Lonchura striata: one gene and its partners. The protein of the gene in region 1 interacts with the protein of each later gene in a biochemical or structural test. Links are inferred from orthologs where the notes say so. Each region holds a gene or a part of one and is shown on either strand. Other genes may lie near its edges. The genes, in order: UBE2D1, PRKN, RLIM and E3 ubiquitin-protein ligase TRIM7-like.

What was found.
Region 2: the proteins of UBE2D1 (region 1) and PRKN form a complex in vitro, tested with the Homo sapiens proteins (3 studies listed by BioGRID). The link is inferred for Lonchura striata from reciprocal best matches to the Homo sapiens genes UBE2D1 and PRKN.
Region 3: the proteins of UBE2D1 (region 1) and RLIM form a complex in vitro, tested with the Homo sapiens proteins (5 studies listed by BioGRID). The link is inferred for Lonchura striata from reciprocal best matches to the Homo sapiens genes UBE2D1 and RLIM.
Region 4: the proteins of UBE2D1 (region 1) and E3 ubiquitin-protein ligase TRIM7-like form a complex in vitro, tested with the Homo sapiens proteins (3 studies listed by BioGRID). The link is inferred for Lonchura striata from reciprocal best matches to the Homo sapiens genes UBE2D1 and TRIM7.

Annotation. Positions count from the first base shown.
Region 1 is NC_134609.1:2,764,900-2,772,137, reverse strand, and holds the start of UBE2D1 (ubiquitin-conjugating enzyme E2 D1), read right to left. Parts: upstream 3,017-7,238; 5' UTR 2,933-3,016; coding exon 2,909-2,932; intron 1-2,908. Other genes in the region: CISD1 (CDGSH iron-sulfur domain-containing protein 1), read left to right, coding at 4,264-4,294.
Region 2 is NC_134605.1:36,999,495-37,007,211, reverse strand, and holds the start of PRKN (E3 ubiquitin-protein ligase parkin), read left to right. Parts: upstream 1-4,715; 5' UTR 4,716-4,813; coding exon 4,814-4,820; intron 4,821-7,717. Other genes in the region: PACRG (parkin coregulated gene protein), read right to left, coding at 3,890-4,096. UniProt on the Homo sapiens protein: Functions within a multiprotein E3 ubiquitin ligase complex, catalyzing the covalent attachment of ubiquitin moieties onto substrate proteins. Substrates include SYT11 and VDAC1.
Region 3 is NC_134616.1:16,784,957-16,792,323, reverse strand, and holds the start of RLIM (E3 ubiquitin-protein ligase RLIM), read left to right. Parts: upstream 1-4,360; 5' UTR 4,361-4,483; intron 4,484-7,367. UniProt on the Homo sapiens protein: E3 ubiquitin-protein ligase.
Region 4 is NC_134631.1:326,531-334,124, reverse strand, and holds the start of E3 ubiquitin-protein ligase TRIM7-like, read right to left. Parts: upstream 3,021-7,594; 5' UTR 3,006-3,020; coding exon 2,932-3,005; intron 1-2,931. UniProt on the Homo sapiens protein: E3 ubiquitin-protein ligase that have both tumor-promoting and tumor-suppressing activities and functions in several biological processes including innate immunity, regulation of ferroptosis as well as cell proliferation and migration.

The DNA of each region.
Region 1 (7,238 bases):
TATCTCACTTTCCAGAGGTGGCAAGAATAAAGGCTTCTTTGCACCATATTTGTTCTGTTAAAAAACCTACATTATTTGTTTTGCTTTCATCATTTGCAACATCTGGAATTTACACTGCCCACAAAAATCTCTCAGTTGTTCTTTCAGTGCCCCAAGGAACATCACAGATGGTGTAACTGAACTTTTTTAACAGTATAGAAATTCAGTGCCTCTCTCATACAACAGCAAAGCAAAACACACACAAGGCAAATGAACACAGGACCCTCAGTTTATGATGAGTAAGAATCCCCCGACCCAAAACTCCCTGAGGAACTTTGAGATGAGTTTGTCACAGAGACACTGCTGACAGCTGTGCCTGCAGAGCAGGGCTTCATGTCCTCACTGTTCTTACAGCTACAGCACGAAGGTCAACATAGCTCCATGTGCAGTGATCAGCTTCTTCACTGCTTACTCAGTTGCCCATTTTTAAAGAAGCTTCCAAGCACAATATATCTTTCTGTAACTAAGGTACAGTCTTGGAAGTCCACATGCTATCCTCCTTTGAGGAGCCCTCAAAGATGATTAGCCAAAGGCAGGATGCAATGACACAGGTCCCAGTGGTGATATTATTTAGAAATCAGACAGTATGACAAAAAAATATGCTTACTAACAGGCTGACATATTACAGCTTTGCTTCCTTTGTAGGTGTTATCACAGTGAACAGACAAATTATCAAAGTTACTGTGAACAAACACTCAAGCTGACACTAAAATCCTTTGGCTTTGTTCTGAACCACCCTAAACCTACAAAAGCTTAACTTCAGACAGTATGTCTAGACTGATGAGCTCCAAGCAATATCGCTGTGTTTGCTGACACTGTTTTGTTCTCCAAAGAATTCCTCTAGGCACTTTGAAACCACAGCACTTCCTCTACTCCAGATCTTACCCCCTCCTATCCTTCGGACACAACGTAACTATGAACCTTTACAGCCAGTCTGAAACACCAGGAAAGTAAGTGAGACAAACACACCAACATACAAATGCATTTCATCTACCGTTAAACTTCCATTTCCATAGTTTTGGGGAAAATTTTATGTATTACAATGACATCATAACAGTTTGTCTTTTCAAACTTCTCCATTTTAACTTTCCATTTGAAACAAATTTATTTCCTTGCCATTCCCTTTCCTTTTCTACTTCTCAAGAAACAGACTTCTAGCCAAATCCCTCTGGTAGAATTCTTTTTCTTCTCCTGGAAAGGCAGAAGAGAGTGATGGGGGTACTTAATGGGAAAAAAAGAAAACTAGCAGTAGTAATTTCTGCAGCAAACTAGAAGCAAGTGGTAACCAGTTCCAATTTAATCTCAACTCTTCTTGGACTTACCTTACCCAGTATCTGTTCATGTTTCAGATAGAACTTATTGTATAACTAGGCAATCTCGTAGCACCTCACAGTCAGCAGGTTAGAAAGCATTTCTTCATTTTGAAAGAGTAGAAACAGAATTTAATAAAGCTAACAGAATGAAAGATACTTAGATAAAAAGCCTAACCATAATTTCACATCTATCAAAAGTTCTTAAATGCCACATTAAAGAAAATTGTGGCTTTCCGATATGTATAAACATCTCTAAAGAAGAAAAAAAGTTATGCAGGCAACATGATAAAAGTATGAAGACTAATTAATTCAATTCCAGCAGGACCTCATTTAGAAAGCCCCAAATCATCACTTCATCTCAAAAATACTAGATTACCAGACTTCTCCCTTTGTGTGTTTATTTTAGCAGAAAGAAGCTGAACAAGAATTGGAAAGATATCGTAATCAGAACAATCCTTTTATTGAAACCTGAGGACAAGGAGATGTTCAAGAAGAGGTGGGAAATGAAAGTGACAACAAGAGGCAAACCATTTGTATAATATGTAGAAGCACGACAAAGTTATTGCTAAAGAAAACCATTGTAGTAATTTGTTAATATTTGATATAGTGGTCGAATGCAACAACCATGGCAAAGGTGATATGAAGGAAAAAAGTTGTCCTGTAATTGCACTTTGTGTAAAGGCATAGGCTTTGCAGCATGGGACAGGACTACCAACTTCTGAGAGAAATCCATCCAAAATAAGTTGAGATCTACTGTAGGGTATCCCAAATCTGCCTACCGTGGGGTTAATCCATCTCTATAGAATCCTATTTCAGCAATACCAATGGCTTCTGACAGCAAATGGGAATCCTGCACAAGAAATAATCGCACCGTCACATAACCAGGATAGCAGCAATGCCGCCTTAACAGGGCACATCAACAGCAACCAAACACCAGGGATTCTGTTCCACGGCCAAAGCACTAACCTTTAATCCAGCCGTGCTGGCCGCGGTACCGTGTCCGTACTGCACAGCGGTCAGCTCAGCCTTGCCAAACAAAAGGAAACCGGGAATCCACAACTTCAACCAGGCCCTTACAAGTACCAGCCCAAAACACCACCACTGGGATACGCTCAAAGGTCACACCAAGAACTGTGCTGACAACGCTTCTTAACCCAGCCTACGGCCCCGTTACACAACGGCAGCGACGGATGTTGTCCTGCGCCTCTGCTGAAGGCGCCGGCAGCACCTCGGCTTTCCCCGCTCCCGGTCCACGAACGGCGCCTTGAGCACCGGCTCGGGGCGCGGGGCCTTCAGGGCGGCAGGGTCCCGAAACCGAGAGGCGGCCGGCGAGAGCCCCCCTCCTCCGTCTCGCACCCACTCTTCTTCCCCGGCTGCCGCCGAGGCAGGGACGAGTCCCGGCAAAGCAAGCGCGCGGCAGCAGCTGCCGCGGCACCCCTCGCTGAGCCCGGTCCGGCCGCCGCCTACAACCCGCGGCACCGGGGAGGGGGCAGCACCGGCGACTACCCGAGGGCAGGGGAACCTTTCCGCCCCCTCCCACGGCTCGCCCCACTCACTTTTTGTATCCGCTTCAGCGCCATGGGAACGCGCGGCGGGAGCGCGAAGCAGGCGGCGGGAGCGCGGGGCGGGAGCGCGGGGCGGGAGCGCGCGCCGCGGAAGCGGGAGGGGCGGGGCCGCAGCCGCCGGGCCCTTTGTGCGCTCCTGCGCATGCGGGGCCGCGGCCGCGCGCGGGGCTCGCCGGGAAGCGCAGTCCGCGGGCGGAGCGGCTCTGCGCGGGCGCGGGAGCGTCGGCCGGGCGCGCCCCGCCCCTCGGGCTCCGCGGGGTCAGTCCGTGTCTGATGAACACGGGGGGAAGGCCGCGGCCGGCACGCGGAGAGGTGAGGAACAGGAAAGTAACCGTGTGAAGCTTCAAAACTGCATACAGGGAAAAGGTGTATCATATTCGTCATGGTGTGTGAGAGAAGCAGTAGACGTGTGGGTTGAAAAGTCTGTTGAACAGGTCGTAGAATTATTAAAGTTGAAAGAGACCTCTTAAGATCGAGTCAGTGCGGAGCAGTCACGCAGAGTGCACTGGGGCACACACCCACAGGATTTTCTCTCTCAAGGTTTGGAAGGGTGCAGCCTCCTTTTACCCTGAACTCCCGGCTGCACGTTGCCCTCTTTCTTTCCCCACCGGCTGAGGTACTAGGAAGGTACAGCCTTCCCGAACTGCCTAGCACATATTCCCCCCTCGTATATGTAATTTTCCCCCAAAGTTCAGAAATTCGGGCTTGTGCCAACCCATTTGTTTCAGAGTCACACTGTCTGGGTTCTCTAACAAACCTGTGGCTTGAAGTTGGTAGAGACATTAAGGTGCATTTCAAAGACATTAAAACCCATCCCTCACCTACGGAAGCATTTTGTAAAGACATAAGTACACATCTTTGCTATAAGGTCCAACCATAAACGAGGTCCCAGAGTCATTAACCAGGTATAGAACTTAGATAATAATTTTTTGAGGTATAGTAGTTCTCACATCAATACCCAAGCTTATGAGGTTCGAGGCGGCTGTCACTTGGTGGATATCACTTTTCCGCTTAATCTTTCCACAACTACAGAGGAGAGGGCGCACGGAGCGATCTGCTCTAAGCGTTTTGCAGAGCAAAACTGACAGAAGAAGAGAACGGCGGCGCCGAGCCAGCGCGTGTGCGCAGGACGCACAGGGTGCCCAACACCCATGTTAGAGCTGCAGAGGCCTCCCTGAGCGCCCTGCGCCGGGCGTCGGGCCAGTGACAGCGCTGCCCGCTCCTCCCTCCCGTCCCGCACGCCGTAACCTCCGCCTGTCCTCTCCCCGCCGGGAGGCCTTGAGGGGGCGGCCCCGCGGCCATCTTGGGCAGCGGCGCGTGCGCGGTGCGGAGCGGCAGCGGCAGCCATGGGGCCGGGGCAGAACAGCGCCGTGAGGGGTATGGCTGGCCGGGAGCCGGAGGGCTGAGCGGCCCGGAGGGGCGGGGCGGGCCTGGGGGCCCGCGGGCGGGCGGCACGGGGGGCGCCCCTCGGGGGGGGGCGGCTCCGCATGGAGCCCCGTGCCCCGGCGGACCCCCGGGACAAGATGGCGGGCTGCCCGCCGCCGGCCCCGCGGGGTGCGGTGGGGCCGGGGCGGCCGGGGGGATCCGCTCCGCAGCAAAACCCCTCCCGCGGCCGGCGAGGCGCGAACGCCGCGGGCAGCGCGGAGGGGCCCCCTGCCCCCGTCCCGCCCCTCTGCAGAGCTGTGAGGGCCCGCAGCGCCGAGCTTCGGCCCCGCAGCGCCGAGCTTCGGCCCCGCCGCGCCGAGCTTCGGCCCCGCCAGCGCGCTCCCGGATTTTATCTGTAGTGGGGACAGTCCGTTTCAGACGCCACTGTTTTGTTTCTGTGTTCCACCTGTTGGAGTGAAAATTTCGGGAAAACCGGTAAATTTTAGAGGTTTTGTCTGGCTCTCAATGCCCGCTGCTGTACAGTAGAGGTAACGGTGACATTCGCGCTGTGTAATGATTGACTTGAACCCTGCCTGAGGTAGCGTTGTGTGTTTTAAATGCTGTTGCACAACCGGACAGGATGAAAGAGTTAGGCCGGGTAGAGGATAGAATAGAAAGCTGAATTATCTAATTTTCTCTAAAATATTAGCTTCACATGCGTGACTGGTTTCCACTTGCAAAGCTGTTCATGGTGTATGTCCTTAATTTAGCGGGCAGATGTGTTTTTTTTTTTTTTTTTTTTTTTTTTGGTTTTTTTTTTTTTTTTTGGTTGTTTTTTTGAGGGGTGGGTAGGGTGGAGATTACTGGTACAGAGGATGCTGGCAAACACATTAGTCTAAAATGGGCTATAGTGGTGGAAGGCTATGCTTGTTAAAATAATCAAATCACTGAGAATCACTTGGTAATACCTTGCATCCAGGTTGTGTTCCCAACGGCAGCTTGCTGTCATTTATAATTTTGCAAGAATTTGAACAGTTCCTAGACATTGGGAATTAAGCAGAAAATCTGTGTGGAGATGGGAGAAGAATATGCTCTTAAACAAACTGAAAATATCCTCATTGTCTAACAAAAGCATAGGAGCAGCTGATGGCACTAGTCTGGAGGGTGCTCTGTTTAGCAGGAGACAGCATTAGGTTTTTGTGATTTCTGAAGAGATAAAACTTGATCAATGCCTTGTGACTAGCAGGCAACATTTCTTCCTTCAGCTGGCATGTGTCTCAGGCTGATGAATTTTGAAAATCATTCTCTACTGAAAACTAGACATCAGAAGCTTACCATATTTTTGTGAGATTTCATTCGTGGTAGCAGTGGGGGGAGTTAATTGCTTCTGTGCATGTGTGCCCTTTGGAAGGCAGTGAGTAGCACACCTATTGCTTTTGGTTTGAGAGGTGTGGTTGTTTGCAGGTGTGACCCCACACCAACCACAGATCTGATCATGGTGACGAGTCTTTTACAGCTTGGTGAAATCCAGCAATCTTCTTCCCTCAGGTGGCCTCTTTGCCATATGTCTTCTGTTGAATTAAACCTGCCAGTCATAATCTCATTTTTTTGTCGGTGCTGTGGAGTGGTAGAAGTGATTTTGTCAGCTTGACTGCTTGACTTTTACTGTTAGGTTTTTTTGTGTATCTAGTTATCTTGATACACTTCAGTAAGTGAGAATCACGTGTTTCTCCATTATTGATTTTTGTTGTGGGCAGTGACACTACTGGACTGTCATGAACAACTCTTGCACAATAACAGTCTCTTCATTGGCAACAGAATTGGCAAGAAAAATGCTTGAAAGTTACAAGTACTTCTGGAGACATACAGTTTTTCATGTCAGGTGTTATTACTCTGTGACTTTAGAATAACATAAATATTTTCCGAGCAGCAGAGGTAACTTGACTGTTGCCTCTTAGGGCAGACTTGGACTAACTTTGTCAGGGTGTAGCTCTCCCCCATATTGTTGATAGTTGCTAGAATGTAAATTGATCTGGGTTCTTAACAAGGATCTTGGTGGAGGCAAGGCCACTTCACTTTCTTAATCCACTTCTCAGTGCAGTTGGTAAATGTATGTTTTCCTGTGGATATAGTCTCAGAGCTCTCTAGCAGATCCAAAAACTCCCTCTGTAGTGTAGACCTGGAAACATCCAGAGCAATGCTCTAGATATTTAGAGAAAGAAGAAGAGAGGAGAAACTTCGATCTAAATATCTTTCATTAGGATATGTCCAAAGAATACAGAAGAGAATAAATCCCTATCAGTGTCTTATTGCCATTCTCGTCTCTGATTTTTTTTTTTGTTTACTTCTGTGCACTGCCTGCTCTCCTGGGGCTTCATTCTTTGAATTTGTTTCCTTCTTTCCATCTCTGTTGCTGTCTCTTCTCTCATTTGTGTGTTAATTTTAATGGAGTTCTAGCCAAATTTTTTTTTTCATTGTTTAGTGCTTAAAACACAAAACCAATTTTTTTTTCTGCCATGTTACACAGGCCTGTTTTGTCTTGTCTTGTAACACTGTGGTTTGGTATTATACCAGCATTTGGAGTTCTTTAATAATAACTCAAAAGTTGCTCCTACTGCTTTTTATTTTAGAAGAAATAAAAACCCCTTGATACTCTACATCAGTGTCAGTCTGTTAACAGATGCCTCATGCATGACCTTAGGATTTTTGGCAGCAAACTGTTGCATTGGCACCAGAGGTCTTTTGAAACCAGAGGCCTTTTGAAACCGTTCAGAGTATTTAAAAATAAAAGTTTTATTCTTCCACATGCATTTTGTGGCTAACTTGGTTAGATTAAAAGGGTGTTCCAACTTTTCCAGATCTGTGTGTGAAACACGACAAAACTTACTGCCTCTGAAACCCTGTAGGATGATTTTCCAGTGAGTCTATTGAATAAATTGAAGTATTTCTTCTAAAT
Region 2 (7,717 bases), on another chromosome or scaffold:
CCTCAATCCCACAGACAGCAGTTCAACACTGTGAGCTTTAAAAGGTTGGAGTTTTTTCAGCACGAACAGTTCCCTGAGCAGCCAACATTGTACAAATGAGGACACAACAACAGGCAGCAGTACTAAACAGCCTGAGAGAGGAAGAAGATAGGACTGCCTTCCAGAGCACTGACAGTTTAAATTGTCTTGCAGTGCTCACTGAAGTGTACTCCTAGATTGTACACAACTGCTATTGTTAAACTGGAGAAGTTCCTCCAAGACAGATGTGCTACTTCTCAATATACCTCTATCAAAATACTCCTTTAACTTGACATCTATTTGCCCCAAAACACACTGATTCTTCCAATAAATTAGCTGTTATAATCAAAAGATACAACTTTCTTGTATTCTTTCCTATAGCCTCAAAATCAAATTAGAAACTTTGACTGCTACAAAGTAAATAACAAAATCAGTCTTGATTATGCAGTGGATAGATGAATATAAATATAATGACAAATCACAAATTTCGGAACATAAACAAATCACATCATGGTTAAAATTAAACTTTTTCTAGGAGTTATTTTCTAATGGTAAAGCGTAAGAAAGCTCTTCACAACACATTACTGAAAATGGCTTGAGAGAAGTGCTTAAAGTACAAAGATTGAGAACTCATTCCCACACATAGAGACTGCAGATTCCTAAATGTAGAACAGAAGAATGAAAATCCAGAGCTGCAATACAAATAACCATTTTTCTGCTTAAGAGCAATTACACTTTTTTAGGCGATGAAAGCTGTGCCCTATACAGAGCTAAGACTCTAAGGCTGAATAGCTGCTTTGGTTTTAGAAATACAGAAACGAAAATTTTTAGCATCCCTTCCTTTCTAAGATCATCTAGTAAATATTCTCATTCTATCCCTGTGGCCTGTTCCTGAAGGCAATTTCTGACTGATGTCATGGAACACATGAATGTAATAGTAATCTTATAAGAGTTGGGAGATAGATAAGAATTATCATTCTACTGTTTCCTTTAAGTACTAAAATGAATCCTGTCCTTGAAAAAGTGCTTTTACCACCAGCGCATTACAGAAAAGTGGGACACTAACACTTCATTCTCTTCTCTACAGTTGCAGAAAACAGGAAAATGTCATCTAGAAAGGATCAGAAATGAATTGAGATATATTCCTGCTGCTCACATTCATGTTCAGACACTTCTATATCGGCTAGTCTCTACATTAATTTTTAATTGTGTTCCTAGTTCTATATGCAGTACCTCTGAAGTAAGAGCACATAACATTCTTGATTTCACCGGAGGACAAAACAATAAAAATGTAAATGTTTCTTGTTATTATAGAAGACCTTTATTGAACCTTGCTTTTAATCTAAACTGATATATAAATTTACAGTTTTGGAGTAACTTAAACACTTTATTCAGTTCAGGAACATTTTTAGGTGAATATTTAAGCATTGTATTTCACTAAGCAAGTTTTTGATTTAGCAAGAGCTGAGAAAAGTCTTAAATACTGTATCTACTTAATTTCTGCACTTACTACTAACTACAAAAGCAGACTTTATTCAGGAACATTCAAGAAAAACAGCTTAGTAAAACACTCTTTGCCCAAGCAATGTAAAAGAATTCCGGAACATTTAGTATAATATTTACAGTCATATATGCATAAAGGTAATCTACGCTAAGAGTTTAAGACTAACTACATGCTTGCACTAAAGGCTATTAATCAATACCTCATTATTTGACCTGGAGATGCCAAACACGTTTAACCCTATGCCTTATCATGCTGTTAACAAAAAGAATTACCATGTCGTAACTAGATATTCCTGCTGTGCTTTCAACCCTTCAGTTAACTCCCAAGCCTTCCATGAGAACTTCATCAAAGATGTCAACCTCTGACAAGTGAGTACTTAATAAATCTAAAGCTCCATTCAAAAAGTAGTTGGAAAAGTAAAAAGAAACTCCCACTTCAGCATAGAGAGCGTGGCTATGAGATATTCCTTTTTTTGCACACTGGAAGTTATTCTGGTGGCTGCCTGACCACAGATGGAGCTCTTGCAAAACATAGCCCTGGCACTATGAATCTCCCAAGACCACTAAGAATTTCAGAGCTTCCAACCCAGTTATGAGTAGAACATGTGCAGCAGGTCATAATACTGTAAACCCGAGCTCTGACAGGCTGGGAGGGCAAGCGAGGGGACAGATGAGCAGGGCAGAAATGAAACAGGCTGCTCAGAGAGGTCAGGCAATCCCTGATGTCACAGTTTAGCTAGGAAAACCCTCACTGACCTGATCTGGATACTGGTGACAGGCCCACTTCAAGTAGAAAGTTGGCTTAGATGATTTCCAGATGTCCATGCCAAAGAAAATAATTTCTGTTATTCTGTGAGTAGCTGCAAAGGCAGCAGATTTACTTGTAGGCAGTTCCTTAACAACAGTATCACATGATTTAATGGTCTGTTCATGTTTAGGAAGTCATAAAGGCAGCCATAAAAATTAATACTCTATAAATATTTAAAAGGAAACCTGAATTCTGATTAAACTCATAGTTAGTTATGTTCACAAGTCACAGCTCCTTTTTATAAATTAAATATGTGCTTCTCAAACTCAACTGAAACTGCTGATTCTTCTAGACAAAATAGTCTTTTACATATCTAGGTGTAAACAACCACATGCAAATATCCATTACTTGAATTTTCTCTGGAGAACAGGAAACATATTTTAAAAATTAATCCTAAAGGTTGCTGAAGTATTATAGTTCATTCCATGCATCTCTACAATAAAAATAAACAAACCAAACAATCTTTAAAACAAAGAGATTATTTGGCTGTATTCACCTTGTGTTTTTCCAAGTAAGGTGAAATATGTTGCAGTTTTACTAAATAGGAGAAAGTTTTTCAGGTATACAACTTTTACTCTATTTAAAATTTCTTTAAAGACATACTTGTTTGGCTTTTTAAGAGGATGTTCTTGCTAACTTCTTCTTGATAACATAACATCTTGATAACAAGATCAGAGAGACTGCTCCAGGAAGACCACTTCAGCAAAACAAAGGGAAATAATGTATTTCATAACAGCTGTCAGAACACTCTATAGATTTAAAAAAACCCTTGAGGACTCAAGCCTTTGCTAACACCTTGAACTGTGTCCAAATGAAGAATACAATTCAGGAGCTTAGGCAGAGATGTATGGTAATATTACCTCATCCACTCACATGTTGAATATTTGTACTCTGTACTAGTTAAAGCTTTTAACTCCTAAATTCTGATAAAGGTAGATAAATAAAACAGTATAAAGAGATTTGAAGGGCCTTTATACTACTATTTTAACTCCCAAGCCTCCAAGTTCATTAGAAATTGTGACTGCTACTTGTTGGATCAATTTCTCTGTCTTTGAACTACAAGTTGGAGAACTAATGTTTGTTTGTTTAGTATTCTCCTAGATGGTGTAGAAGTTATTTTCCAAGCTTATTTAAAAAAATCTATTAATCTATTTTCCAGATCTATGTGACATTCATATCAGTTTTATATACCATGCCAGTGTATGAAAACTTTTGAGAAATACTGCACTACTGGACAGCATTTTGCTAAGTGGGAGGCAGGAAGCTTCACGCACAATTCCATAGGCTGGCAGTTTAACAGGATGTGCACTGCCAATACAAAACCATAGAAAAAAAAAAAAAAAAGAAGTAACACCAAAATAAAGCACTTGGTGAAAGTATCGCAACTTGCAGCAATACTCCTGCAAAGTCCGAGGGTAATTTCAGCAACCAGCAAACTCCAGATAAAGTATTAGAAACTTGCACACCTTCCTGCCACGCTATATCCACAGCTCTAACTTGCTATGCTTCTTGGACAAGTTCAGTTAATTAGTATCACCACTATGCTTGCAGCAAACATACCACGCTGTTTTTCATCATGGCTCTAATACTGAAACCCTCGCAGGCCTGCTGCTTGTCCTGCTGCTTGTCCTTCTTCTCCTGCTGCTGGGGCCGCCTGTCACCGGCCAATTTTGAGGGGCCCGGGCGCCCCTCCTCCATTACAATCTCCCCACCGGCGCCCACGGCGGACCAGATGCAAGTTACGGACTGGAAAAAACAAGCGACCATCAGCGTCCCGTGTCCAGCGAGTTAGAGCAGGCATTAGGTCCAGCTTCTCTCCCTCCGCAACCAGCGGCAGCCTCACACACCCGTCCCGCGCCTTCCCTACTCCTCACAGACCCCTTTTGCCTGCCCCTCTTCCCCAGTCCCCTTCTGCATCATCCCCGCTCGTCCCCCGCACCCCGCCGTGTCCAGCCCTTCGCCACCTGATGTCCTTGTCCCCCGGGGGTCTCGCCCCCGCCCTCCCGCCCGCCGCGGTGTCCCCGCCGGCTCCGGCCCTGCCGAGCTCCGTCGGCACCTGCCACCACGCGACCGTTGCCAGGCAACGCGTCAACAACCCTGAGGGAAGCGGGAGGGGAATCACAAATAGCCCCGTCGGCACCGCCCGGTCCCGGACAGCTGTACCTACCCCCGGTGCACCGCACACCGGGGCGGCGGACAGCAATTAACGAGAAAGTCATTAGCGGTGTGTGGCGGAAACGTGAGGCGATAACGTGAGAAGAGCGTGTGCGGGTGTGAGCTGCCCAGGAACTACGCTACCCAGAGAGCCCAGCGCGTGCCTCCACCTCCGCCACCGAGGCGCATGCGCGTTCAGGGCCGGCCCAACACGCCCGCAGCGGCGCGACCCCCCCAGGGCGGCGAAAGGGGCAGCGCGGAGCGGTGGGTGCGGCCGGCACGTGCGCGCACGCCTCGCCCCTCTCCGCGCGCGGGGCCGCCGCCGCCGCCATGATCGGTGAGTGAGCGCGTCAGGGAGCGGGGCGCGCCCGGATGCGGTTCCGCCCTTTCCTCCCCGCCCCTTCCCTTCCGCCCTCCTCGCCGGCGCTGCCGCGGCCGCTGCTGTTGGCGCCGCTGCTCTTGTTGCCTCTGCTGTCGCTTCTGCGGCCCTGGGAGCGGCGGGGGCTGTCCCGGCCCCCTTCGCTTCCCCTCGGTCCCCGCGCGCCTCGCCCGGTGTCTCGGCAGGGCGGGGCAGCTCGCACTCGCGGCGGGGCGGGCTGGGGCCGCCCGCGCTCCTGGCCCGCTGCTTAAACCGCGGCGGGGCAAAGCCCTCCTCTGTTACCCCCGGGGGAGGGGGGGAAAGGTCTGGCCAGTTCTTGTGACTGAGCTCATTTTTAGAGCTCTTTTATTCCTTTTCGGTATATCGATTGTAAGTGCTTCTCGGCAAGGTTTGTGCGATCTGCGAACGTTTTTTGGCCTTGCCAGCATATATACTTGTTATTAATCCGGCGTGGTACCTGGTGGCGACCTGGAAAAGAAGAAACTTTCAACACCTCACGGTGTTGGGAGTGTGACCCTTTGGACCTTGAGTTGATTTCTGTACCCATCCAATGCTGGTGTGAAGCGTGACTTGGTTGTTTCAGCAGTGGGTTTTCTTCACTTCCTTGAAAGATTAATCCATACCTGGGAAAGTTCGAAATTGCAGGATCTGTTTTGTAGCGTTCCTATTTATTATGCATTTCATCTTTGATTTTCTCAGTTTTGAGAATTATTTAAAGTAAAACCTATAAAAGGTAGTGGATTGCACACACGCATTTTAGCAACTCCTTGCTGTTCTCAGGCTTGCTGTTTCGTCAGCATTGGTGTCATGGTTGCTGTCTACTTAAGATCTGATCAAATTGAAAACTCCGCATTTTGTTGTGAAAATGTTTATTGTTTTTAAATGGAACGTCTCAGAAGTTTCCAAGAATGCTTTGGGTCTTCTTAGCAGTGAAAATATGATTGCATGTGTATAGCTAATGTTCTTTCACCTTTGCTAAAACTAAAAAGAATGTTGTCCAGTATTTTCACTCTGTATACATATTAATGCAAATGATCCCTTCCTAATTGTGGAATTTTTCTTACTGGACTTTGTCATTTGAGCTACTTTTTTCTTATGTAGTAGAGAACATTTTAAATTGAAGGCTTGCCTTAAGGAAAGCACAGAGGGTCAGGTATCCCAGTGTTTTTATTTTGCAATGTTATCTGCTGATCTGATGTATCGCTGTAGTATATAAAATACATGTGTTTGCAGAACTGCAGTGTGTGTTTGTTTTTTCAATGCTTCAGAAAAGTAAGTTGAGTGTACCTAAGGGACTGCCCATGTGGTTACAGAGCTGATGCCTCTAGCTTCACACTGAAATCTAAATATTTACTTACTGCTCATGAATATAAATGTTCTGTGACTGAGGAATGATAATTTTATTTTCACTGTGGCAGATGGAAACGTTTGTGAATATTGATTATGAAATGTACAGACCAATTAGTTGCATATTTAAAAACACAGCTTTACATGAGTTGCAACCTGCCCTGGTTTAACCCCAGCTGGCAACTAAGAAGCACACAGCCACTGGCTCATCCCCTCCTCCCCTGCCTTGCAGGGTGTGGAGGAGAATTTCAGGTAAAATAAGAACAGTTTAATAATTGAATCAGAGTAATAAAAATACTGATAATGCTAATGATTATGATAATAGTAATGAAAAAGAGAGAGAAGAAGAAAACTGGAGGAAAAAGGGATGCAGAATAAAATTGTACGCTGGCCACTGACCAATGCCCAGCCCATCCTCAGACCAGCTCCCACCAATTTATCTCTTGGTGTGGAATGTCCCTGTGGCTAGTTTGAGTCAGCTGTCTCCTGGCCACACTCTCCCAGTTTCTTATGCACCTCCTCACTGACAGAGCATGGAAAACTGAAAAGTCCTTGATTCAGGCTAAGCACTATTTAGCAACAACTGAAACACCAGTGTGTTACCAACATTATTCTCAAACTAAATTCAAGATGCATCATGTTACCAGCTTCTAAGTCAAATTAACTCTATCCCAGCCTCCCCACACCCCAAAAACCATGTCACCCTCCCCCACTCACCCCCAAAAAAAGAATTATCTTCAAAGTATGTGATGTGGAGACCTGGTCCAGTATCCTGCTTTGAGACTTTCTGAAAACTCCTCTAAACATTTGGAAGCTGGGAATGCCATAGCAAAAATTGGGGGTAGGAATGCAAGGGTGAGAAAATAATCTGCCCATTTTTTTAACTTGAGTATTTAAAAGAATTTTCCTATAAAATACATAGTATATTTTTCAAAATGTTTCACAGTTTCATATCTCTAGAAATGTCTTACATCCTCATAATTTGATACCATAATATACACATGATAATTCCTTTAACTGATTTTTTATTTTCTATCTTTCTTTTTTCTCTTCATATCTCACAGACCAGGTCATGTAGACTTATGCACATTCAGGTTCCCTAAAGTGTAATTTGAATCCGGACTGAGCTAGTTAAGTGACATAGCTTGCATTACCTCTACTTAGGGGCTTGGTAGGTCTGGGGAGTTTTTTTGAGGTGGGGTTTTAAAGCTTGTTCTTTATTTTATTTATTTGCTTACCATTGGATCAGCTAAAACCTGTTGTTAGTGGAATGGAAGTGGCAATCTGCAGTTGGATTGGCTGATCTATTTCTTAGTCAACAGCCCTGGCAATAATGTCACATTCTTGAACACCTGTTCTGGGGGGAAAAATAAAAAAATAAAACTGATTTTGAAGGAAGATGCTGGGACAGCTTTGTGAAATTTTTTCAGAAAATCTCTCTCAAAGAGCAAAAATGCCAGGAGAAGGCCCTAAACTGTTTTAAAAATGTAGAAGGTCGACTCTATATA
Region 3 (7,367 bases), on another chromosome or scaffold:
TCTGCTTTAACTACTTCATCTTCTGCAGCCTGAATTTTTTAGGTACAACTGGATTTATAGAATTTAACTAGGTGACAGTAAACAGCAGAGAAATCCTTTGGGATTAAGCAAATTCAGCAGAAGTTTCCACATCCTACATTTATCACAGACTTTGTATGTAACTTTCTGCCAGAATCTACAGAAAGACAAAGTCAATGTAAAAAGTAAACAGCAGCTCAGCTTTAAGCGCAGGTAGCTGGGAAAAATCAGAATTCCTGCATTTACACTCCCCAGCTGGCTTCATCTCCCCACTCAGTTCCTGGCTCTACCTCTACTTGGAGTATACAAAGATCTGAGTTTGGTGGGTCTGTTATTTTTAATTTTTTTGCTCAGGTTTAGAAGCTCCCAAGAGATTCAGATTTCCACACCTCACTGCATTTGGATTATTACTTAGCTATACTGAGAATGAGTTATTTTAATATATTTTTAGAAAAAAAAAAATAAGCCAACATTTTTTTCATCTATCACTGCATACCTAATAAGCAGTTTTTAAAACTCTAGGGAATTTAAAACAAATTTATTTACCCCCATTGAAGGAAACGACATTAAACTTACCATGGAAAAGTGTTGCAATTCTCTTTTGCTATACACACAGTAGCAAATTGAAAACACTTAAGTAGGAATTACACCATGCTTTTGCTGTAGATTTTGAATTTTTCCCTATACTGCAAATTTTTCTATGCAAATATATTTTCCCCTACAAGCTTTTTGAAATATGCTGCTACACTGCTCCTAATTTTGTCAAAGCTGTTTAGGAGATGTGTGTGCACAGGTCATTAATTATTATTAATGTCAAGTGGATACTGAAATCCATTAAGTGGTTTTGAAAAATCAGAGCTTATTCTGTACCTGATCAACTCTGTGAGGGCATTTGCAAATAAATCCACCAAATCGCACCCAGGGAGAGACTTTTCTTCAGCTGTGTGCCCTGGACCTCAGCTCCAAGTTTTTACTGCTAAGGAAGGTGTGAATCAGCAGGATCCAGCTGCTGTCTCTGCTCCTCACGGGTGTTCATCTCCCAGCAAACTACAAATGTCTGCCTCAAGAGTCGGAGCTCACCCACAGACGTGAAGAGGAATGTTTTATTGCTCTGTTGCTTTGCCATTTGATGATTTTCAAGACTTTCGGTAGGGTTAATCAAGTAAACCTATTCTGTTGAGGGGGAAAGATACAAACAAAATGATGTGTCAGATGTCAGGAGGCTGTTCCAAGAACATAAACCATCATCTTATCCCTCCATCCAAACAGAATATGCTCCACCTCCCATTTGCTCAATAATCCCTCATATTTTGCTGCTTAGGTTACTGGTGTCTAAACAAAGCCACTTTTATCCTGCTCTGACCTTGCCTTGTTTCCAGAAAAGGTGGGGGGAAAGGCAGGATTCACTTTCATGCATGACCAGCCTGTGGCAGTGCCCTCACCTCTGATTTCTTTTGAGGTGACACAGAAATGTCCTGCTGCTGTGCTAATTGCCAACACTCATACTCATGGCTGCCTTATCAATCCTGGGCACAAGGCTTCCCATGATAAGCTGGATCAATTGTGTGCCCATCACCTGCTCCCTGAATTATCCACGTTTGAAAAATGGAATGGGTTTTTTGCCAGCTTCAGTGGTGCCTGTCAAATATAAAGCAGTGTCCACACACTAAGCCACAGGGTCTCCATTTGGGGGATACAGTTTCTCTGGCCACTGGATTTTGTAGGGGTTGGACCACATAAAACATACGTTTGTCATGGGTCAGGAGCAAGACAACTTTTCCCAGTGGCAAATATTTTGGTGCATTAAATATTTGGTGCATTAAGTATTGTGATGCATTAAAACCACAAAATTGCTTTGTGACATTAAATTTACTCTTCTTTGGGGTTTTTTTTATAATATTACTCACATTTAACAGCCAAAGCAGAGCTGTTAGGTCACAGTTTGACCCAGCAGTACATTTAATTGTAACTTTAGCAACGATGCAAAAGACTGGTCTGATGTAAACTCACCCTCCCAACCCCAATTTACTTTTAAAATCATAAGAAGTGAACATTGTCCAAGCAAGTTTTATGCTGTGTTAAGTACTACCTCTCCATCACTCCAGGTATGTGGTGTATCAATACTCAATTGCTTCATGTACAGGTTATTTGAACAAAAACATAGTTGGGAACCTACACCTGCTCCAGATGAAAGTGGGACTCCTTCCTGCTCTCTGTTATTAAGGATTTTGGCATCTTCCTTTCCTGGTCACAGGCTGTGGCAAGTAAAACTGATGAGAAATATGCCCTGTACCTGTTCCTTCCCTCTTCTCTCGCCCGGACACTGTGGCTGCCTTTGAGTTCTCAAGTCTGCTGGAGGGAATTTAAAGTGTGAATTGTGAAAAACACCAATCACTTGTTTTTTGTTTTTTTTTTTTTAATCTTAAAAGTTAATAATAAAATAGTTATAAAAATAGTAATAAAATTAGAGTAGTAAAAATTTGGACACAGGATTAGGACACTACAAGACAATAAAAAGCAAAGAATTACAGACATCTGGATGTTTTGGGGCACTGAACTGCCAAAAACACGTCTTGGGAGCAAAGGAATAACCCTTAAAAGCAACAGCCAGTTGCATATTCATCTATCTCATACATGATGCATAAATTCTTTGCAAATTAAGAATGTTTCTGGTTTTTGTCAAATTCTTCCCCTTAATCCTGGTGGTTCCATAAAGATGGAGAGAAGGTGGAAGAATGTTTGTCTTTTCTGATAAGGAGGCTGTAATTCTTTAGATTTTCTGTTGCTGTTATCTCTATGCGAAGAGTTTCTTGATTATCATATCCCTTTTCTTGAGCTAGTAAAAAATATCCTACATTGCAGAGTTTCTATTTTAACATTATGTTGTAACCTAAAACTGTATTTAACACACTACTTAAAAAGGATTAATACAGTATTACAAAATAACCCTCCATAACACACATAGTATTCAATTTAATATTTGTGAAGAGGCAATCATAAAATATGCATTTTTCACATTAATATATAAAACCACTTCATTTACATTAGAAGTTGGACTTGTATTGTTGAGTAGAAACTTAACAGCTTCCACAATCTTTAAATGCAACACCCCCCTCAACTTGACAGTGCTATTTTTATAATGAACCACCAAAAGGAGAAAAAAAGGTGTCTCGTGGGCTTCCTGAAATGGTGTAAAATCCTCAGGAATACGTTTTTTCTCTATGTATCAGATACTATGAAGATAACTTCCTTGCAAGACCTTAGCAAGATATGACATTTTGGGCATTAAAATGGGATCTTTCAAAACTCAGCTGCCCTCGGTAATTCCAGCAGTGAGGGGGAACACTGCAGAAGTGCTTAACCCTACATAACATGGGAAGTCTGGCGTTCAACTCATTAAGGCTCACATAGGAAAACATGAATATCTCAGTTTTCAGAGCTGCATGTAGTACACACCACCAAGTGAGGGGGGAAAACCCTGCCATAGTTATAGAGGGGAAAGAACGTTCACGGTTTGAGGTGGAGGAATGTCAAAGCTTGGAGGGAAAGGAATGTCCGTGGTTAGAGGGGGAGGAATGCCCATGGTTAGAGGGGGAGGAATGCCCATGGTTAGAGGTGGAGGAATGACCAAGGTTAGAGGGGAAGGAATGCCCATAGTTAGAGGGGGAGGAATGCCCATGGTTAGAGGGGGAGGAATGACCATGGTTAGAGGTGGAGGAATGACCATAGTTAGAGGGGGAGGAATGCCCATGGTTAGAGGGGGAGGAATGCCCATGGTTAGAGGGGGAGGAATGCCCATGGTTAGAGGGGGAGGAATGCCCATGGTTAGAGGTGGAGGAATGACCATAGTTAGAGGGGGAGGAATGCCCATGGTTAGAGGGGGAGGAATGTCCATGCTTGGAAGGATGAATACCCGCACCGACAGACGCCAGTACTGCCAGTATTTGTTTTTTTGGCACTGCTGGCCACCATCGACCATGCACGGAATCCCCTCTCTCCAGCGCCCACACCTGAGACAACATGAAACTTAGGGGACCGCGGGGATACGGACCCTACAGTGAACGGGCAGGCACTGCTGAACCCCGGTCCCCCCCGCATTCCCTGGGTGCTGGGTGCTCTGAGCTGAGGAGCAGCCACGGCAGCCCCGCCCCGCCCTCAGCCTCTGCCCGCACCAAAATGGCGGCGGCCCCTGAGGGCCGCGGCCGCGCGCGCTGGGCGGGGCTGCCCTCGCGGGCCGCGCCTGCGCGGGGCCGCGCGCGCCCCCACTTCCGGCTGCCGGCGGCCGCTTCCGGCCCCCCGTTCCTTGGTAACAATGGAGCAGAAAATGGCCGCCTGAGCGGGCAGGAGGCGGCGCGGCGGCGGAGCGGCACGGGCGGAGCGCGGACAGCCGGCACCCAGCCCCGAGCGGCGCGGGCAGCGGCGCACCCACAGCCGGGGCGGCGGCGGGCGTCGGCGGCGGCGGGCGGTGAGCAGCGGGGCGGGGGCGGGCTCTCAAAATGGCCCGGGGACGGGAGAGGCCCAGGCCCGGGGGAGGCGGCGGCGTCCTCTGCCCGCAGCGGGAGGCGGGAGCGGAGCCCCTCAGTGCCGGCTCGGGGCCGGCGGGGCGGCTCGGCGGGGCGCGGGAGGCTCCGTCCGCGGTGCCGTGAGGGAGCGGGGGGCGGTGATGGCGGTCTGGGCGGGTGTGCCCGGATGGGCCGCGCTCCGTCACCCCGGGGCCTCTCCCGCCGGAGCCGCCCGGATCCTCCGCTGCGGGCTGGAGCGGGGGCTGCGCTGCCTGCGGGGAGGGCAGACGGGCCCCGCGCCCTGCGGGTGTCCGGCCGGGCTGGGGAGGAATGGTGAGCGGCTCCTTCGGGAGGGGTGGGGGAGGGGGTGGTCAGAGCTGCTGCCCTGGGCCTCGTCCGCGCTTGGGCGTCTGCTGCGGGAACCGCAGCCTCTCACGGCCGCGTTTTCCGCCCGTGCTCCCCGAGAGCTGGGCCAAGAAGCCTTGTTGTGGAAGACAGGCGAGAAGAACTCTTCCTCTCCCGCTGTGCAGAGCTTTGGATCAGCCTGTGACCTGTTCAGACCTGTGCTGTTTGCTATTCCTGTGCTGAGTTTCTCCCCAGTTAAGCACGTCATCTTTGCTCTGTCACCTTAGCTTCCTGTGCAGGTTTTCCCCTGCCCCTTTTAACGATGTTTGTTAGTATTTAAGGGTTCTGGTTCTCTGTTTCAAAACCTTTGTCGAGTCCAGCTGCATGTATGTGTTTATCTCGAGTCTGCTTTAACTGAGGAGCAATGTCAAGCTGTGTGTATGTATATCTGCCTGGCATGTAGTGATGATTAAGGTTTGTTTATAAAATTTATTATGTGTCCCGATTTTAGTGTGCAGCAGAAGTCTGACAAAAGGTTTCACAGGAAAAAAACCTGAATTTTTAAAATAATAGTAGTATTATTTTGCTGTTTCTCAGCAAGGTGGAGCCTTGATGCAGAGAAGCTCCTAAACAAGAATACAAACTTGATAATACCCAATAGTATCGTCACACATCACATTTATTTTCCTGAACGTGTTGGCAGTATTGGGTAATTTCAGCTTGGAAATACTTGTCAAATGTTCAAAAGAACTTCTAATTTGTCCCCGAGTTTTAATTGCAGTGACTTGTCAAGTCTTTTTAAAACAAACAGTTCGCTGCTTCTCGGGCAGTTAATTATCTTAATTGAGGGTCAGATATTTAGTTTAGTTGTAGTGGTCACCTAGCACTTAAACTGACTCTGTTCCCTCTACAGGTTTACCATTTTGGAATTAAAATAATGATAGCTTGGAATTATGTCTTGGGAAGGGAAAACACACCACACATTATAAAATTAAGGGTTTCTTGTTATGTTAGACCACTAAAGCACAACAACTGCAGTGTTCCCTTCATCAGCAACTCTGACTGGGTAAATGTTTGTCCCTGAAATAACCACACACCAGTGTTTTTCAAGCTCTAGTGGTTGCCATCTCTATCATATTTATTTTCCATATTACTGAATTCCTAGAAAAGGCTGTTGCAAGTGTCTGCTCTCCAATATGTGTAGTTGGGTTTTTTTTTTGAGGAATGGATAGCGTGATCCTTAGATTGAAATGTTTTCAAAACACCCTTACATCAGACACCTGCCTTGCTTGTTCTTTAGTCCTCTTCCCTGTGGGGATGTAGCAAAATAAATCCCTTGATCTTAGCAGAATAATTCCAATTGCAGTGGAGGTGTTACATTTTTTTAAAAATCACAGCATAATAACAATGCAATTAATATAGAACACAATGCTATATATTAATAACATGTTATTAATATTAATAAACATAATATGTTTATATAACATATGACTCCATATGTCTAAAGTTTGTGTTTAAGTCCAGCCTAATGTAGCTTAACACATTACTGGAGTGTCCTAAATTCTTTTTTTGTAGAGAACTTCAGTTTCCATGTCTTAAAACACTTGAATCCAGACATGATTATTGGGTGTTTAGCCAAGGTTTTGTGGTTTAATCTCAGTCTTGGTGAAAACTTATCAGCGGCTGAGTTTGCAAAAATTATTCGTGAAGGGATAAAACCAAATGTGAACACTTCCTTCATGATCCCTTTATGGGAGTCTTGTGCTTCTCAAAACCAAAACTTCTAAAGAGTTTAGTAGTGTCATAACTTAGTCGGGAGCTTTGTGTGCTGAGTAGGGATAGCCAGGAGCATCCCAGGGACTGGTTTTGCCTTTGCACAGCTTCTGGCTGCAGGTAAGATCATAAACACAAGCCTGTGTCTCCTTCAGAGTGCTCAGGTTTGTATTAATGAGGTGCTTGTTAGGAGCTTTTGGCTGCTGCATGGTGTTCAGGATCAGCTTTTGACTCGGGGAGGTCTGCAGGGTTGGATGGTCTCATAAAACCACCTGATGGTTATGGAATGTAGGAAAAGCCAGCACGTATTTTATCTTCATTCAGTATTTAAAATCATCTTGTGCTCAGAGCACTCTGGGTTTCGATGTGCAAGGTATATGTGCACATAGTCCTATTAAAATGCTGGAGCTTCTCTGCCTTGGGATGGTATCAGAAATGGAATTGTCATGGTACAGATGCCTGTTTAAATTCAGATAAATAGATAAATTTGCCTTAATTTGATTTCCCACCTCTCTTTGTTGGGCAGTGGATATCAGCAAGAACAGGAACGCACGTATCGGAATTCCTCTGTGGTTTGTGGTTGCAGTGATTGTTGCTCTTTTACTGTTAGCAGTGCCTGCATTAGCAGCAGTTGTGTGGAGACAGCAAGATTCAGCAGTCAATTTAAAGATGGCTTTTTCTTTTTTAATTGAAAGTCAGTGAGTGTTGATTGGCTTGGTGTTTTCACTA
Region 4 (7,594 bases), on another chromosome or scaffold:
TATTGGGAATTGATATCGGGAATTATTTCGGGGATTGATATCGGGATTTATATCGGGAATTATTTCGGGAATGGATTTCGGGAATTCCTGGCAGGCGGCTTCGTCCTGGAGGTCCCGAGGGAGGAGGAACGAGGTCGCCGCGGGGTCCTCCCTGCCGGGGAGGAAGGGGTTAAAGAGGTTTTTGGGGTTTATTTTGGGGATTTATATCGGGAATTTTATTTGGTAATTTATACCGGGATTTTATTTTGGGGATTTATATCGGGGATTTATTTCGGGGATTTATATCGGGGATTTATATCGGGAATTATTTCGGGGATTTATATCGGGAATTGATATCGGGAATTATTTCGGGAATGGATTTCGGGAATTCCTGGCAGGTGGCTTCGTCCTGGAGGTCCCGAGGGAGGAGGAACGAGGTCGCCGCGGGGTCCTCCCTGCCGGGGAGGAAGGGGTTAAAGAGGTTTTTGGGGTTTATTTTGGGGATTTATATCGGGAATTTTATTTGGTAATTTATACCGGGATTTTATTTTGGGGATTTATATCGGGGATTTATATCGGGGATTTATATCGGGGATTTATTTTGGGGATTTATTTCGGGGATTTATATCGGGGATTGATATCGGGAATTGATATCGGGAATTATTTCGGGAATGGATTTCGGGAATTCCTGGCAGGTGGCTTCGTCCTGGAGGTCCCGAGGGAGGAGGAACGAGGTCGCCGCGGGGTCCTCCCTGCCGGGGAGGAAGGGGTTAAAGAGGTTTTTGGGGTTTATTTTGGGGATTTTTATCGGGAATTTTATTTGGTAATTTATACCGGGATTTTATTTTGGGGATTTATATCGGGGATTTATATCGGGAATTTATATCGGGAATTATTTCGGGGATTTATTTCGGGGATTTATATGGGGAATTGATATCGGGAATTATTTCGGGAATGGATTTCGGGAATTCCTGGCAGGCGGCCCCGCGGCGGAGCTGCCCTGGCACGAACGCGGCTGCCGCGGCTTCTTTCCTGCCGGGGAGGAAGGGGTTAAAGAGGTTTGGGGATTTATTTTGGGGATTTATTTTGGGGATTGATTTCGGGAATGGATTTCGGGAATTCCTGGCAGGTGGCTTCGTCCTGGAGGTCCCGAGGGAGGAGGAACGAGGTCGCCGCGGGGTCCTTCCTGCCGGGGAGGAAGGGGTTAAAGAGGTTTTTGGGGTTTATTTTAGGAATTTTTATCGGGGATTTATATAGGGAATTTTATTTTGGGGATTTATATCGGGGATTTATTTCGGGGATTTATATCGGGAATTATTTCGGGGATTTATATTGGAATTGATATCGGGAATTATTTCGGGGATTGATATCGGGAATTGATATCGGGATTGATTTCGGGAATTTGTTTCAGGGATTGATTTCGGGAATTTGTTTCAGGGATTGATTTCGGGAATTCCTGGCAGGTGGCTTCGTCCTGGAGGTCCCGAGGGAGGAGGAACGAGGTCGCCGCGGGGTCCTTCCTGCCGGGGAGGAAGGGGTTAAAGAGGTTTTTGGGGTTTATTTTAGGAATTTTTATCGGGGATTTATATAGGGAATTTTATTTTGGGGATTTATATCGGGGATTTATTTCGGGGATTTATATCGGGGATTTATTTTGGGGATTTATATCGGGAATTGATATCGGGAATTATTTCGGGGATTTATATCGGAATTTATATCGGGAATTTATTTTGGGGATTTATTTCGGGGATTTATATCGGGAATTGATATCGGGAATTATATCGGAATTTATATCGGGAATTGATATCGGGAATTATTTCGGGAATGGATTTCGGGAATTCCTGGCAGGCGGCCCCGCGGCGGAGCTGCCCTGGCACGAACGCGGCTGCCGCGGCTTCTTTCCTGCCGGGGAGGAAGGGGTTAAAGAAGTTTGGGGGTTAATTTATTTCGGGGATTTATTTTGGGGATTTATTTATTTCAGGGATTTATTTTGGGGATTTATTTCGGGGATTTATATCTGGGATTTACATCGGGAATTTATTTTGGGACTTTATTTCAGGGATTTATTTCGGGAATTATTTCGGGAATTATTCTGGGGATTTATTTCGAGGATTTATTTCGGGAATTTATTTTGGGACTTTATTTCAGGGATTTATTTCGGGAATTATTTCGGGAATTATTCTGGGGATTTATTTCGAGGATTGATTTCGGGAATCGGTTTCGGGAATCGGTTTCGGGAATTCCTGGCAGGCGGCCGCGGGCTCAGCGCGCCGGTGTCCGGTTTCTCCGGGACCTCCGGGCACATAGAAAACCAGGAATAAATCTGTTCCCACGAATCCTGGAGTTTTCAATATTTATTTTCCTTCCTTTTCCTTGAGAAAAGTAAATTTTTTGGGGATGTCCTCCGGTTTGGGGGTGTCAGGCTCTGGATGGAGCCGATTTCTGGGTGAGCTGGCGCTGAATCAAAGCCAGAATTCAGAGAAGGAAAAGGAAAAGGAAAAGGAAAAGGAAAAGGAAAAGGAAAAGGAAAAGGAAAAGGAAAAGGAAAAGGAAAAGGAAAAGGAAAAGGAAAAGGAAAAGGAAAAGGAAAAGGAAAAGGAAAAGGAAAAGGAAAAGGAAAGAAGGAGAAGGAGAAGGAGAAGGAGAAGGAGAAGGAGAAGGAGAAGGAGAAGGAAAAGGAAAAGGAAAAGGAAAAGGAAAAGGAAAAGGAAAAGGAAAAGGAAAAGGAAAAGGAAAAGGAGGAGGAGGAGGAGGAGGAGGAAGAGGAGGAAAAGGAAAAGGAGAAGGAAAAGGAGGAGAAGGAGGAAAAAGAAAAAGGAAAAGGAAAAGGAAAAGAAAAAGAAAAAGAAAAAGAAAAAGGGAAAGGAAAAGAAAAAGGAAAAGGAGAAGCGAGGGGCAGAGAGCCCCAACCGCCCCCCAAAACCCTCCCCGCGCCCCGCTGCCCTCGCGTACCTCGGAGCGGCGGCGGCGGCGGGCGGAGCCCCCGGCGGGCTCCCCAAATCCCCCAAATTCCCGGGATTTGCCATCGGGCCGGTTCTGCAGGACGCCCCGAGCGGCGCCGCCAGCCGGGCGGGCTCCCGGCGGTTCCGGGGCCGCGGGAGCCGCTCGGCGGGACCGCGGCGGAGCAGCCCCGCGGCGGCCGCGGCCGCCTCGGACATCGCGGCCCGGCCGGGGCTCCCCGCCGCGTCCCGGGGCCGCGTTTGTCCCCCGGTGTCACCGGCCCGTCCCCGAGCGGGTCACTCACCGCGCTTTGCCCTCCCCCATCGCTCCTGTGCCGAGGTTTCTTCTTCCTCCTCCTCCTCCTCCTCTTCTCCTCCTCCTCTTCTCCTCCTCTTCTCCTCCTCCTCCTCCTCCTCTTCTCCTCCTCCTCCTCCTCCTCTTCTCCTCCTCCTCTTCTCCTCCTCTTCTCCTCCTCCTCCTCCTCCTCTTCTCCTCCTCCTCCTCCTCCTCTTCTCCTCCTCCTCCTCCTCCTCTTCTCCTCCTCCTCCTCCTCTTCTCCTCCTCCTCCTCCTCCTCTTCTCCTCTTTCTTCTGCTCCTCTCCTTCGTGGCAAAATTCCAAAATTTTATTGAACTTGGCCGAGGTTTTTTCCTCCTCCTCCTCCTCTTCTCCTCTTTCTGCTCCTCTCCTCCGTGGCAAAATTCCAAAATTTTATTGAACTTGGCCGAGGTTTTCTCCTCCTCTTCTTCCTCCTCCTCCTCCTCTTCTCCTCCTCCTCCTCCGTGCCAAAGTTATTTCCCGGGAATTTTCATCGCCACTTCCAGAATCTCAATAAAAAGGAATTTAAAATCATCGGGATCTCCTCCTTTTTCTCCTCCTCTTTCTCCTCTTTCTGCTCCTCTCCTCCGTGGCAAAATTCCAAAATTTTCTTGAACTTGCTCAGCGCCCGGATCGCGTTTCCAGCGCCTCCCTCCTCCACCTGTCCCCGGGAAAGTTTCGGCAACTTTTTAACCCTTTCCAGGGAATTTTCATCGCCAATTCCAGAATCTCAATAAAAAGGGTTTTTAAAATTACGGGGATTTAGGGGTAAAATGGAAAATTGTTATTTTTAAGTGCTAAAATTCACATTTTTGGGGCTGAAATCCTCCTTTGAAAAGTACTAATTTATTGATGTTATTATTATCATAGCATTATTGTTATTGTTGTTATATTATTATTATATATTATGCATTATGCATTATGCATTATGCATTATGCATTATGCACTATATATTATATATTATATATTATATATTATATATTATATATTATATATTATATATTATATATTATATATTATATATTATATATTATATATTATATATTATATAATATATATTCTATAATATATATTCTATAATATATATTCTATATAATATATTATATATTTTATATTATATTATATATATAATATATAATATATAATATATAATATATAATATATAATATATAATATATAATATATAATATATAATATATAATATATAAAATTTTATATATTATATATTATATATTATATATTATATATTATATATGATATATTATATAAAATAATAATCTATTATCTATTATATATTATATATAATAATATATATTATTATAATATATAAAATTATATATGTAATATATATAATATATTACAAAAAATATATTTATAAATATATAAAAATTACAAATATATTAAAACGATAAAACTATAAAAATAATATATATTTTATAAAATAATAAATATATTATTCATATATTCGAAATATAATATAGATAAAAATCTAAATGTAATTTATCTATGAATATATATAATAAAAATAGATATTATAAAAAAATATATATTATAAAATATCTATAATAAATATATAATAAATAAATATAAAATATATATACATAATAAATAGATATATAATAAATAGACTTATATATATAATATATATTATAAATATATATAATAAATATGTCTATAACAAATATATCCACAATAAATATATCTGTAATAAATACAATTTTTTGGCGTGGATCAATAAAAATAACATTTCTCCGCCCAACGTGGGGCTCGAACCCACGACCCTGAGATTAAGAGTCTCATGCTCTGCCGACTGAGCTAGCCGGGCGCTGGGAGCGCTCCGGGAAAAGCTGGAAAAGGCAAAATCCCACCCAAAAATTCGGAATTTTCGGGAACCCGGGAGTTAAAAAATTGTAATGGATTTTCATCGCGAGAAGCGAAGCGCTGATCCCTCCTAAAGAGTTTCTGCCCCTTTTCTAAAATGATTTTTATTTTTTATAATATAATGTAATATAGTATAATTTAGTATAATATAGTATAGTATAATATAGTATAATATAATGTAGTATAATGTAGTATAATATAGTATAATGTAGTATAATGTAGTATAATATAATGTAGTGTAATATAATATAATATAATATAATATAATATAATATAATATAATATAATATAATATAATATAATATAATATAATATAATATAATATAATATAATATAATATAATATAATATAATATAATATAATATAATATAACATAACATAACATAATATAACATAATATAACATAATATAGTATAATATAGTATAATATAGTATAATATAACAAAATATAATATAATATAACAAAATATAATATAATATAACATAATATAACATAACATAACATAACATAACATAACATAACATACTATAAATATTGTATTATAAACGTATTATTTCTAATATATTACAAATAATCATGTGGTATAAATAATATATAATAATATATTACAGAAATATTATTTATATTATAATACAAATACTGCATTATATTGTCATGTAATATAATATAATACAATATAATGTAATGTAATATAATGTTAATATTATTTTTATCATTATATATATCTTTATTATAAATGCAGTTATTTTAGCACAGCCGGTAAACGCCTTTCATATAAATGAATACATTCAATAAATTTAATAAATAAAATTAATAAAAAAAATTATTGCTTATTTCTTATTTACTCATTTATTTATCGCTCGCTAACGGAGCGAGAAGCACAAAAAGAGGAGAAAAAGGGAAATTTCGGGGCTTAGGAGATGTTTCACTAAAAAGAGATTAAAAGAAATGAACAAATCAATGAAATTTTAATTGGTTTTTGTCAATAAGAAATTCTTCCCTGACCGGGAATCGAACCCGGGCCGCGGCGGTGAGAGCGCCGAATCCTAACCACTAGACCACCAGGGAGCCCAATGCTAACCAATACCCCCCAAAATACCACCCAAATTCACATTTTTGGGTTAAATTCTTTAAAAAACTCCCATTTTACCCCCAAAATTTTAATTGTTCCCCCAAACGTTCCCTTTTCCCCCCAAAAAATGCCTTTTTTACCCTCCAAAATACTCATTTTAACGCCCAAAAATTCACTTTTTACCCCCCAGAAATTCACTTTGTACACTCAAAAAATTCCCTTTGTACACCCAAAAAATTCCCTTTTTACCCCCAAAAATTCAATTTTTACCCGCAAGAAATTTCCTTTTAACGCCCAAAAATATCCCTTTTTACCCTCAAAAAAAACTTTTATACATCTAAAAATGTCCCTTTTTACCCCCAAAAAGTTTCCTTTTGCCCCCAAAATTCCCTTTTTATCTAAAAATTTCCTTTTTACCCTCCAAAAAATTTCCTTTTTACTCCCCAAATTTCCTTTTTTTGAGGCTTTTGGGGGTTTTTTTTTGGTTTTTTGGGGGTTTTGGGAATTTTTTTGGTTTTTTTGGAGATTTTACGGGTTATTTTTGGGTTATTTTAAGGGGTTTTTGGGGGATTTTGGAGGATTTTGGGTTTTTTGGGGTTTTTTTTGGGGGGGATTTTTTTGGATTTTTTTGGGGGTTTTTGGGTTTTTTTTGGAGTTTTTTTTGGAACAACCTGAAACCCCCAAAATCAGGAGCGGATTTTGGCCGCGATCCCAACTCACCCCCCCAAAAAAACCCCAAATAATTCAAATTATTCCCCCCAGGAGCAGAAACGCGCGACTCCAACTCCTCCTCTCCTCCTCCACACAATAATTTCATTTTTTGGGTTTTTTTTGGGGGAGATTTTGGGGTTTTTTCGGTTATTTTTTGGGGGTAAAAAGGGTAAAAAAACGAAAAAAATTTTCAAAATTTCAGCTGTTTCTGCCCGGTTTCGAACCGGGGACCTTTCGCGTGTGAGGCGAACGTGATAACCACTACACTACAGAAACACCGCACGAGTTTATTATTGTATTTTTTCCAGAATACTTTTAATTTTTAATTTATTTTCCGGAATATTTTATATATTTTATTTATTTCCTGGAATATTTTTAATTTCTGCTTTTTCTCTTCAATATTTTAATTTTTTTTTTAATTTATTCTGGGAATTATTTCTATTTTTGCAAATTTTTTTTTAAATTTTAATTTTTGCTTTTTATTTCCTGGAATATTTTTTTTTTCCCTTCAGGAATATTTTATATTTTTGCAAATTTTTTGGCATATTTTAAATTTTTTTTTCTGGATTTTTTTTCCATTTTTTCTGGAATATTTTATATTTCTATACTTTTATTCAGGAATATTTTTAATTTTTGTTCTTTTTTTCTGGAATATTTTTTTATTTTTGGTTTTTTTCAGGAATATTTTATAT